3 linked regions of the Macaca fascicularis genome follow. The protein of the gene in region 2 purifies or fractionates together with the protein of the main gene of each other region. This does not show direct contact. Links are inferred from orthologs where the notes say so. Each region holds a gene or a part of one and is shown on either strand. Other genes may lie near its edges. The genes, in order: HLTF, RNF146 and CHD1L.

What was found.
Region 1: the proteins of RNF146 (region 2) and HLTF purify together in Homo sapiens (affinity purification with mass spectrometry; 4 studies listed by BioGRID and IntAct, with this or other methods). This does not show direct contact. The link is inferred for Macaca fascicularis from reciprocal best matches to the Homo sapiens genes RNF146 and HLTF.
Region 3: the proteins of RNF146 (region 2) and CHD1L purify together in Homo sapiens (co-immunoprecipitation; 3 studies listed by BioGRID and IntAct, counting the BioPlex papers as one, with this or other methods). This does not show direct contact. The link is inferred for Macaca fascicularis from reciprocal best matches to the Homo sapiens genes RNF146 and CHD1L.

The regions. Positions count from the first base shown.
Region 1 is NC_088376.1:51,897,918-51,902,082, reverse strand, and holds the start of HLTF (helicase-like transcription factor), read left to right. Parts: upstream 1-1,359; 5' UTR 1,360-1,557; coding exon 1,558-1,577; intron 1,578-3,009; coding exon 3,010-3,217; intron 3,218-4,165. UniProt on the Homo sapiens protein: Has both helicase and E3 ubiquitin ligase activities. Possesses intrinsic ATP-dependent nucleosome-remodeling activity; This activity may be required for transcriptional activation or repression of specific target promoters.
Region 2 is NC_088378.1:31,213,254-31,217,264, forward strand, and holds the start of RNF146 (E3 ubiquitin-protein ligase RNF146), read left to right. Parts: upstream 1-1,203; 5' UTR 1,204-1,434; intron 1,435-4,011. UniProt on the Homo sapiens protein: E3 ubiquitin-protein ligase that specifically binds poly-ADP-ribosylated (PARsylated) proteins and mediates their ubiquitination and subsequent degradation. May regulate many important biological processes, such as cell survival and DNA damage response.
Region 3 is NC_088375.1:112,993,196-112,997,213, reverse strand, and holds the start of CHD1L (chromodomain-helicase-DNA-binding protein 1-like), read left to right. Parts: upstream 1-1,215; 5' UTR 1,216-1,233; coding exon 1,234-1,366; exon of another isoform or gene 1,367-1,585; intron 1,586-4,018. UniProt on the Homo sapiens protein: ATP-dependent chromatin remodeler that mediates chromatin-remodeling following DNA damage.

The sequences.
Region 1 (4,165 bases), on a different chromosome or scaffold from region 2:
GGCACGGCGGCTAACGCCTGAAATCCCAGCACTTTTGAGAGGCCGAGGCGGGCAGATCACCTGAGGTCAGGAGTTCAAGACAGCCTGGACAACATGGTGAAATCCCATCTCTACTAAAAACACAAAAATTAGCTGGGCGTGGTGGCGGGCGCTTGTAATCTCGGCTGCTCGAGAGGCTGAGGCAGGAGAATCGCTTGAACCCGGGAGGTGGAGGCTGCAGTGAGCCAAGATCGCACCATTGCACTCCCGCCTGGGGGACAGAGCGAGACTCCGTCTCAATAAAAAAGAGAAAAAACAGAAAAAGAAAAAAGAAAAGAAAAGCTGACCACCTAGTATTATTGTGTTGACGGGCGTGTAATGTGGACCTCTCTGTGACGGGCAAGTATTCTCTGGCAGTTACACGGCACCGCCTGTGCAGATCGGCGCCATCACCGGCTTCCCGCCCTGTGCGATTAAAAGGCCACCTTCGGGGACAGCAGCCTCCTCTCCATCCCCAACGCGCAGGGACCAGCCCTGATAGGCGTGGGCTGCAGCTGGTCCAAGGCTGACGGTCCCAGGGCTGCATTCTCCTTCCAGTCACCTCAGACTCTGGAAAGCGAGCCGTGGAGGGCCTCAGAGCGCCCCTCTGCAGTTCCTTGGGGAAAACAAGGGTCTCCCCAGCTGGGCTGGAGCAGCCACGTGCCCACTGGGAAAAGGGTCCTGTCCACCATTTCCGGCAAACGCCCCCATAGCTGTGATAAACATGTGATGGCTTTCCTGTACCAAGAAAGGAAAATTTTCCTTAAAAATAACGAAAAGAGGTGGGGAGGGGACTCTAAGTTCCATTTAAGATTTTCCAAACTCGTTGTGTCTCATCCATACGCTGAGGCTTAGCATGAAAATTTGGAGCGAAAGTCCCCAGGGTTCACCACAGGGAATGAAACAAAGTATCTCGCCGGTAGCTCCAGGTCTCGTAAACCGTGGAGCTCCTTCAGTATAACGCCCTATTACGTGCCACATTAGATGAGGAGGAAATAAGAGGAAGGATACGGTAGAGGCTTTAGAATGGGGTTGAGTCTTAGGACTTGTGGGGTAAAGGAAAGTCGTTTCCCTCCGTTTAAGGCAGGGAATCAAACAAAACGCCGGCACCGCAGGCACCGCAGTCGCACTCCTGGGGCCTCGTGGCTTTCCCGCGCGCCCGCCTTGGGGGCGGGGAAGAACCCGGATGGAACCACCCTTGCAGCCGGGACCCCCCGCAGTCTTTGAATGGCAGCGGGGCGGAGTTGCCCTCCCTTCTGTGCTCTGATTGGTTTGGCTCCGCACTCTTCTCTTCGTGATTGGGCTTTCCTAGTGCCAGTCACAGAGCGACGCTGGTCTCCCAGATTGTTGCTAGAAGGAGACAGCGTCGACGTCTGACTAGACTCGCAGCGACTTATCTTTCAGTCGTACGCTCCTTATCCGGCGCTCGGAATTTGTTCCCGGCTTCAGGGCTGCGGGACCTGGAACGAGGCGTATCGAGGCGGCTCGAGAACGATCCAGGGGAGCCGAGGCGCTCCTCTTGTCATCCCACTCAGCGCCATGTCCTGGATGTTCAAGAGGTGAAGGGGGCGGAGGGGGTGGGGCGCTGGGGCTAAGGGCCTGGAGGCGTCCCCAAATGAACCTGACCTTCCCCGCGTTCCTCCACGTTCCCCGGGCGATTTGTGCAGCTGTATTCGTTCTGTTGGTCGCATATGTGGCCGCGGGAGAAATAAATGCATTGTCTTGGCTGGCGAGTAGGGGCTATTAGGGCGAGTCTCGTGTTAGGGACTTGGGAAATCTCTGTCACCGACTGTGGGGGGCCTGGGGCTTAAAGCCTCTCGGCCCATGCGTTATTCAACAAAACATCCATTAGATACCCACTGTGCGGCAGGCATTATGCTCGGTGGAGGGCCGAGTAAGCCAGCCGTTGTCCCCAAGTGGCTCACAGCTTATGTGTATGCACAGACGTGCAGATACGTATTTGCAGAGGAGCTAATAGAGAGAATGCGCCACTTGCAAGGAAAACGCAGCGCAAATAAGCGACTGTTCTTAGGAGAATGGAAACTTTCTGCAATGCTCCAGTAGACTTCCCCTCACTTTTCATTGTCCAAATTGGTTTTTATGGTCATTCCCGAAACAGTTACACGTAACGGGTTTGGGGTAATGCTTAAACCAGCGACGGGAGGCGGGTACGGGTGGCTTGGGGCCAATTTCCCACGGTGGCGTGGCTTAGATACCAGAATAAAGTAAGTGTTCTGCTCGGAGGGAGTTACAGTGATGGATGCTGGATGTATTTTCTGGAAAATTATAAACAACTTCGTATACAATAGTAGTTGTATTTTTGTAAGTCTTTTGTAGCTGAATCCCTATTGAAATTTTGGCATATAATTTTATTTTTTTAATAATTTATATTTTTGAGATGGAGTCTCGCTCTCTCGTCCAGGCTGGAGTGCAGTGGCACAATCTTGGCTCACTGCACCCTCCGCCTCCCGGGTTCAAGAGATTCTCCAGCCTCCCGAGTAGCTGGGATTACAGATGTGCGCCACCACGCCCGGCTAATTTTTGTATTTGTAGTAGAGACAGGGTTTCACCATGTTGGCCAGGTTGGTCTCAAATTCCTGACCTCAGGTGATCCACCTGCCTCTGCCTCCCACAGTGCTGGGATTCCAGGCGTGAGCTACCACATCTGGCCCATAATTGTATTTACAGACATCATATACATTTCAGTTTAGATGATTTTCACTAGGAAAGATATTAGTGAGCTCTGACTAGGCTTTTCATTTTGAATTCCTAGGGGGCAGGTAGAAGAGCCAATATTGAAAACAGGTAAAGTTCCCGGGAAGCCTTCTCCACTCACTGCAATTCCTGCTTTAACGAGAGTAACTAACTATTAATCTTTACTGTGATTCCCATGTAAGATTTCATTTGCTGAAGTAAAGCATGAGAAAACCACTCATATGGTCTTTGGAAGTACTTAAATACTGTTTTTCTTTGCCTTTAAAAAAAAAATAGGGATCCTGTTTGGAAGTACTTGCAGATTGTGCAGTATGGAGTTCATGGAAATTTTCCACGCCTCTCATATCCAACTTTCTTTCCACGTTTTGAGTTCCAAGATGTTATCCCTCCAGATGACTTCCTAACTAGTGATGAAGAACTAGATTCCGTTTTATTTGGAAGTTTGAGAGGTCATGTGGTTGGACTACGCTATTACACGGGAGTAGTGAGTATAATAGTAGATAACTAAATTAAATTTTGATTATATTTGTGGCGTTAATCTAGAAAATAAGAGAATTAGCAGGTGATGTGTACGGTTCATCTTTATTTTACTTTAAGTTAATGAAATATTTGTACCCCAAAAATAAAAAATACCTCAAGTGACCCTCCCACCTCAGCCTCCCAGAGTGTTGGGATTACAGGAGTGAGCCACTATGCTTGGTCTCAGTGCGTTATGTTTAGTTATTATGGGTAACACCCCGCCCCCACACCCCAGTGCCTTGTTCATGTCATCGATTTGTTGCAAAAAGGAGGTAGTTTTGTGAAATCTTCTGGATTTTATTCTTTCATTTCTCCGTATGTTTCTTACTTTTAAGCTTCTTAAATCTTTTTTATTTTTGGGTGTCTGAAGCATGTTCAGCAGGAGATTCCTTGGGAGTTTCATGTTCTGGATTTGTTTTTCTCCTATATTTCCTTTACATTGGAACTTTACAAGTTGTTTTTTGATTGTCTGAAATGTGTTGTCTAGGAGATTCCTTAGGGAGAAACAGTATTTCCTAAGTTTTTGTCATAATTGTGGCATTTTATGAATGACAGTTTCATAAAATGAAAGTTGTGAAGGACTTAATGACAGTTGGGCTGAATTTAAAATCTTTGTAATATATAGTTTCTCTCCATATCCTAATGTTGTATAGAATTTTCAGGCCAGTGTGATTTTCTCTTTCACTTAAGAGAATTGGATTTTTTTTTTTTCCCTTTTTTTTTTGAGACCAAGTTTCGTTTTGTTGCCCAGGCTGGAGTGCAGTGGCCTGATCTGGCCTCACGGCAATCTCTGCCTCTCAGACTCAAGCAATTCTCCCACTTCAGCCTCCCGAGTAGCTGGGACTGCAGGTGTTTGCCACCATACCCAGCTAGTTTTTGTATTTTTTTTTGTATTTTTTTGTAGGTTTTGGTA
Region 2 (4,011 bases):
GTTAGTTAATACTAGCATTACCTCTTTAAGCTGGAATCTTCGAGTACATATCAAATTTTAGCGATTCTCTGTTCTTGGGCTGTGTAGGATACAGGGACAAAACTGAGTGGCTAATAAGAAGATAAAGATAGAAAACTAAGCTTAAAGGATATACACTTCAATATTTCTACATGTATAGAACTTATAAGAAAAACAGTATTGCATACATGCACAAGCATCACTGAACTAGATGCACCCTTCAAGAGATTGGTTGACATATTAATATATGTGAATAAAAACCCTGAAATAAACTGATTTCAGGGGAATAACAGAAAACATATACATTTCTATACCTATAAGGGCACTGAAAACTTCCAATCCTGAATCAGTTAATGAAATCCCAAAATGCGAGAAGACACTGTCACAGAATGTTGAAATACATACTCTTTTAAAGATAAAAGGTCTGCTCTTCCACCCTCTTCATTTTCCTACACATTAGGAAAATTTTATCAGTTCTGAAAAAGGAAACGTACATGCTAAAACGGTGAATTACTGCTAGAGGTCTGATGTTTAAAACCACAGGCTTGCGACCAAAATAACCTATTTAATTTTAGATTCTCACGCAGATTAATTTCTTTCTTCAGTTTCTCAGGCACTATTCTGTTTTTTTAAAAAGGGGAGGGCTCAAAATAAAATACCAATTTTTTCCCGTATTAAATTGCTCAACCATTAAAAAGGTGAATAAATTGGAAAGTCCTAAAGTACTCTCTGCCCTCCATCCCCGCCCACGACCCTCCTTTTTTTTTTTTTCTTGAAGTGGAACAAGCAGTACTTTTGCTAAGGGATCTTCAAGCCGAAACTCAGCTAGGCGCCCCAGGGCTTCCTCGGGATAGCAAAGCTGGATTTTTGAGCAGCACCACCTGCCGGGCCTACACACGTTTTACTTCCTCCACCCCAAACCTCTCTCTGCTGGAACTGCATTCTTTCAGTGCCTCTGGGCCCTAATACAACTAAAGCACACTCTAAAGCAGCCAGAAGAATCCAAGCAGGGAAGTCGCCGGTCCCCACAAGCAAGAGAGTGCGGGAAGGCAGCGAAGCGATGCAGGGACAGAAAAAGGAGACGCCGGAGCCAGCTCGCGGGTGCGCGGCACGGCTTCCGCCCCGCGCGGCCCCGCCTCCGTGACGCGCCGAGTGGTCACGTGACGGCCGCGCGCGTTCCCGGCCGCTGCGGGCTCCGAGGCCAGAGAGAAAAGACTGCGAGGTGGCCGCAGCTGTGGCCGGAGAGGTGGGAGTCGGAGCGAGGCCCTCTCGGGGGAGCAGGGTGAACGCCGGCCACTCCAGGATCCTCACTCGGGGACAGGAGGCATACCTCGCGGTGTCACCTCCAGCCGCAACGTACTCCGGGTCGGCCTTGCGCTCGGGGCCTGAGAGGGGCGGCGGCGGGGTCAGGGGCCGGTACGTAGATGGACGCCCTTGGGCTGGCGCGGCCCCGGCTGTCCGCGCAGAGGCGGGATGGGACAGCTCAGCCCTTTCCACCACCCCCGCCTTGGCTGCTGGGGCAGGCAAGACGACCGTGACAGCCCATGCGCTGCCCGAGGGCCCCGCAGCCCCTGCCCTAGGTGACGGCCGGAGCTGGTCTCGGTCCGGGTGCGAGGGGCGGAGCAGCGGCCATTACTGCGCAGCGTCTTCCGCCTGAGCCCGCGTCGCTGCCTCGGGTGGCAGGCGGGTCCCTCTCCTCCCCCTGGGCCGTGGTTTCAGGCCTTTACCCGGGGACCTCCTGGCCTCGAGGTGTAGGGGCGGCGATGGTTTTTCGACAGTAGCCTGCTCCCTGTTTCCCGTGTGGGGTCAGACAGTTTAGGCCTTGGGTCAGATCGAAGCCAGGGCGTACAGTCTGCATTTTTGTCTTTTCCCGGAGTGTCTCTGGCTGCTGCTTTCTCTTCTCTCTCTTCCTCCTTTTTTTCCTCCTCCTCGGTGTCTTGGTCTTGGCTAATACGAAGAGAGCAATCCCTGCACCTTGTTCTAGTGAAGCCCAGCGCTGCATATTGTTAGTTGTTTTGACGGCTGTTGAAGCATCGGAACAATTAAGAGATCTCACAGTATCCCTTGAGCCTCCAAACCCTCTGTGCATCTTGAAAGCTGAGACTGTTGCTTTGTTCTGTTTGTTGGGTGGGGAGTTCTCTTCCTACCCTCCATCCCATGAGAGGAGTGTCGGTCTTCCATTGTTGTCGCTATTTATTTTGCGAAGGCTTCTAAAGAATGTAAAATTGTTTTTAAGAGTGTGGAGAAGGAACCGTCCTCTCCACAGGTAAAACCTACAGGACTGTAAGTTTACACACACATCCTGGCAACTAGAATTTTTTATCGTTAATCATTTTGGTATACGTTTTAATTTCTTTTCTACAAGTGCCATTTTAGTGAGCACTTATATCTCAAGTTTTGAACATTTTGTTTAATATTTTTGTAATATTGAAACAATGTAGAACTGAGGTGAGAAGAAAGCCCAAAGATAGGGAACGCTTTGTTCTTTGTATGATTGACGTTTCAGGTACTGGGCGCATCACCCCCACCCCGTGTGTGTACTTTTCAAATGGGATGTGAACGTATGATGGCATTCAATCCAGTATATAATTATAGAATTTGGAAGACTTAGGACATTTTAGTCAGTGAATCTATATTTAGACTTTTAAAAGACATGGCACGTAAGGACACATGGAGAAAATGTCCCACACTAATACCAGGATTTGTGATTTTTGCTTTGCTGTTTTATGACTAGCAAATACTGTTTGTATAGAGTGCCTGGGTGCCCTAAAAACACTTGAAAATAGGTCAAGTAAATCTCGTTTTAAAGAGAAAACCGGAAGAGTGAAACACCACTCTAAAAATAGATTTTGGATGTGTTTGTTTTGGTGCCTTGTATATCTTAGAGTGGAGGATGTTGTTCAGTCCAATCTTTCATTTAGAATTTATGTCTCAAATGGGCCAGTGTGTCATGTGGGCAGAATGGAAATACATTTAAATATTTTTTTTTTCTTCGCTGGTTGTTCAAAACTTGGTAGAATTATAATCATCAGGAAAACTTTCTCCAAATAGCTGGTCTTTTAGACAAGAGAAAGAAAAAATTAACTTTTTTTAAAAGGAGATGTCAACTTACAAAGTGTTTTGTTTCAGTCTCCACCAACTTAAAATTGTCAGAGGAAAGGAACAGACTTTTTTAAAAAAGGATCCAAAACGATATTTTGAGTTAAAAGAAGAAAAGGATATTAAATATGTTGTTTTCACAATATCGATCTGTTTAAAGAGTATTATTTTATATGTTAACCATATACTACCAGGAAACATCTAACAGCTCTGACAGTTAGGAATTCGAATGCGTATTTTTCTCCTGTGTTAGTAACAGAAGGTACTGAGCCTTTTCCATTCTCTTATCTGGTTGCCTTGTGCCTGAGGAATCTGAATTTGTGGAACAACATCTTTGTAGATATAGAAACCAATTTATGTAACACTTGGCTACAACCACCTGTGCTTACTTATGGACTGTGTTTAGTTTTTGTGGCGTATGACCTTTTGGGTTAATTCAAATCCAAAGTGTTGTTAACTGACTGCTAATTAAAGCATTTAGAACTTAGAATTACAGAATTATACAGTAGGATGAGATAACAAAAGACTGGGGGTCTTTTGACTTGACCAAGGTCACACAGATAATTTGCCAAAGAGCTTCCTTGTTTATGAAATCGTTGCTGGCTAAGAAACATCTGTGTGTGATATGATTAAAAGACAGTATTTGTTCACTTTTACATCTCATGTTTTGAAATAAAATGCAAAGCCCACTTTTTTGTTGTTTTGAGAAAAATTAAAGGGTTTAATGCGCTAGTATAAAGATTGTGAAGGCAGTAAGTAGATTGCCACATAGTAACGTCTTAAAGGGAAGTGATTCTTTAAAATAAAGTATCAGACCCCATTTAGTTGAAATGAGTTTTGTCTGAAGTTTCCAAGTATGACCTATTCTTTTTCTCAGCTAATTTTTAGCAGGCG
Region 3 (4,018 bases), on a different chromosome or scaffold from region 2:
TACTTTTCTCTTAGCATTAATCCTACCTGATTTTTATTCATTGCTCTTCTCCTCCTTTTAAAATATAAGCTCCAGGAGATTAGTGGCCTCTATCTTCAGTACCATAAAGAGTGCTTGGCACATAGTACATGATTCAGTCAGTATTTATGAATGACTCAAGACACAAAAATAGCTTCATAAAACAGTGCTTTGCTTGAGTTTTTATGAATAAACCAAACTGAAGTCATCCCTTTTGTAGCTCAGAACGAATTTCTCCCTTTTGTTTTAGGGGAAGATGAAAATAATGGAGGGTGCAACTTTAACATGAGTTTACTGAAGAAGGAAGCACCAAGATTAACCTAAATGAGAATACTATTCTAATGACATTAGCCAGAGAATAATATCATTCCTGTACCAGTACTGCCAATTACCATTACAAGTCACAATATCTTCATTTACAATGTGAGGACAATTATAACATCTAATTATTGGTTATTGTGAGGGTTAAATAAGAAAACATACTTAATGCCCTTAGGACACCACCTAGAACTTCATCAATAGATGCAGCTATTTTGTTATTATCATATTTATATTAGTGATGTAGTACATGATAAATCCACTCAAAGCTGATGTTGAGTCACTGAACACATGGCCCCAATCTGCTCGCCATAATGCACTCGAGATACCCACTGCAACAATGACGTCTTTGGTGATTTTAATTTACTACTATTCAGAGGTTCCCAGTTTTGGCCTACGGGTCACAGGCAGTAAGAAATGGATTTCAGGGACTAAACCAACTTATCACAACGTAAACCGATCAAGGACAGTTTGATCTTGTCATGAATCACTGGAGGGCATGGAACAAGTCCTTCTCACTTCTACAACCCCCAGGGCCCAGCGGAGTATCTGACACATGATAGTCGATATTGATTAAATAATAAATGAATGAAGAGCATATGCCACCTCCTTGACGGGCAGTTCAGGCAACCAGACGCCCTGCGCGTGATCAGACGCCTAGCGCTTCAGAAGCATAACTAGTGAGAACTGGGCGGCCCTTCCACTCCGCACTGCAAAAACTGCCTAAGTCAGAGGGTAACTGCACCAGCTCCTCTCCGGAAATCATGGCAGGACGCGCCCTCTGGCGGCGCCTCGCTCGCAGGTGGGCCCCAGCGCGCCGCCGCTCGCCCCCGCGCGTTGGGAGGTTGGGAGGGAACTGCACGCAGGGGCGCGCGGGGCGGGGCCTCTACTGGCTTGATGGAGCGCGCGGGCGCTGCCAGCCGCGGGGGCCAAGCGCCTGGCTTCTTACTGCGGCTTCATACTGAGGGCCGAGCCGAGGCTGCGCGGGCGCGGGTGCAGGAGCAGGACTTACGGCAATGGGGGCTGACAGGTGAGCGGGCTCCGGGCGGACTTCGCCCAGGCGGGCCAACCTGTTGGGACTGCCTCTTGCGGGCCGGAGGCGCAGCGGGTGGGCCGCCCTGTGGGCTGTTTACCCGCCGGCGCCAGGGCCTTCCTTCGCTCCTGCCGTGGGCGGAGAGAAACCGCGCCCGGGCCTGCTGGCCACGTCCCCCGCCTGCGCGGCGCGCGGGGCGGCGGACGCGGGATGAATGAGGTCGCAGTCCCGGGAACCAGGCCCGGCCCCCGGCCTGTGGAGGGGAAACATGGTGAGATCAGCGCCACCTGCAGGCCTCCGATGAAGAGTTGGACGGCCTGGTGCACCAAGGATGCTAGGCTTCCCGTTGCTGTTACAGTGGGTTTGGGTCCTGGCTTGGGGAGTTTATTGGTTGTTTCTGTAAAACGATCAACTCATCTCCCAGCTTCAGCTTCCCCTTTTACTGTGTGCGCGCAGTTATTGGAGAATTCGCCACTGATTAATTCTCCCAATCGAGTTACGTGCGGTAGTGAGCGGACAGACTCAAGCAAAGCACTGTTTTATGAAGCTATTTTTGTGTCTTGAGTCGTTCATAAATACTGACTGAACCACGCACTATATGCCAACTTAGCTTGTCCGCTCACTACCGCACGTAACTCGATTTATTGACACTAGCCCTTGCGGAGAGTCTGCAAAGCGCGAACCTTGCAGGCCCCGCAGCCCTGCAGCTGCACTGCTGACGGTACTTACTGCAGCCCCAGACCCCGCCCTCTTCCCGGGTCTGCGCTGACTCGCCGCTGAACCCCCAGCCTCGTTTTCCTTATTTACAAGTGGGGAACGTAGTGTGTGCTTTGTATTAACAGAATCGTGCATCAGTAATAAGAATACAGTCGTTTATTCATTACTGATTAAATGCTACTGGGAGCGTATTCTTAGGCATTGGCTACAGAGATGAGCTAAACAAATATGGACCCTTCCTACCTAGAGTTTTAGACTAGTGAGAGTGCATTTAAAAGTATAAACAATAACTTAATTGCTCAATACCATGAAAGAGTGAGATTTGTCATTCTAGGAATGAAACAAAAGGTGCAGTTCTGTGTTCAGCTTAGAAGAGAGAAGGATGAAGTTGAATGGAGAGGATGCAGATGGGAAAGAGAAAGACCTCTCCTTGATTCCCGGAGTCTGTAAGAATTTGTGGCTGTAAGGAGTATGTATGCAGTTTAAGTACGAGCTTGTCGACTGGTCTTTTTATGTTTGACTTTATCTTAAGTTGATGTTTGTGGTGTTTGCCTATTTCCTTTCAAGTGTTGGGAATGGTTCTTTAAGAACTTGTGTGAGAGAGGGCTCAGAAAAGTGTGCCAGTTGATACTTAGCTGGGGATAATATGCCGGGAGAAACGTACATATGGGCAAGTGTTTTAGTGAAAATGAGGAGACAAGAGGTTGCAAGTTTGAGTGGATGGAATGGAGTGAGTAAATTCAGAATTAAGTAGGCAAATGTGGCAGCTTGGATAAATTGGTAGTGGAGAGAAGGAAAACAAAAAAGCAGGGTCAAAGGAATAGGTACTGAATATTATAACCTGAAATTTCTATTTCTATTTACCAGAATAAACTAGTATTATGAGAAACTATTCTTCATGAGTTGGTTAAAAAAATTCTTACTGCTTTTTTTTTTCTTTTGGTTACAGAAGTAGTACATATTTTCAGTAAAACATTCAGGGAAATAGCCTATGCATAAAGAAATAAATATTAATCTCCATAATCTCCTTACTGTTAACATGTTCTCTATCCTGTATAATTTCCTTTACTTTCTGGTGGAGGGGGAAGGTGCAAAAATGGAGTTTGATGTACATGCTTTTGGGAAATCATAACTTTTTTTGTTTATCACTCAGTCTTCTTCAACGTCATTTTTAATGGTTACAGTGTTTCAGTATATGGAGGTACCATAGTTTAGACAGTCCCTCTTCTTGGTATTTATTTAAGTTCTTTTTTTTTTTTGCTATTGTAAGTAACACTAATAAATATCCTTGTAACCAAGTATTTATTATAGCTATGGACGTTTAATTCCTGAAAAGTACTATTTCTAGAATAAAGAATATGCAAAATTTTTGCTTATTTCTCCATACTCTCAGTAACACTAGTATTTTCTAATTTCAGAAGTTAACATGTTATTGTATTGTTTAATTTAATGTTTATTTGGTTACCAATATTGATGGACATTTGGATATTCATCTTTGGATCATGAAATTACCTTAGGACCTTTTTGTTTCTGGAATATGCAGACCTATTACTTCTTGCTCTTTTGCTTGCTGTTTCACTACTTGTCATCTCCCTGACAGAAGGGCAAAAGAATCTACATCTGGAGGTTAAAAAACTAAAGACTACCTTTCCCAAACCCCACCGTAGTTTGGTTGTAAATGTGACTTGGCTTTAGCCAGGCACATGACTGTGGGAGATTTGGAAGGGGAAAGTGAGGGAAAGGACTCAGAGGGGTTTGGGTTTTCTGCTTCCCTCTTGGCTACTACCTCATGGGTCTCTGGGTGGGTACAGAGCATTCATTTTGTTACCACGGTTGATAGGTTCCTGGAGCTGACGGTATGGTGGCCTCCTGGTTGGTTCCTGGCTTCCAGGTCATGGAGGTAGATACTTCCTTGGTGTGCCTGTTCTGTGG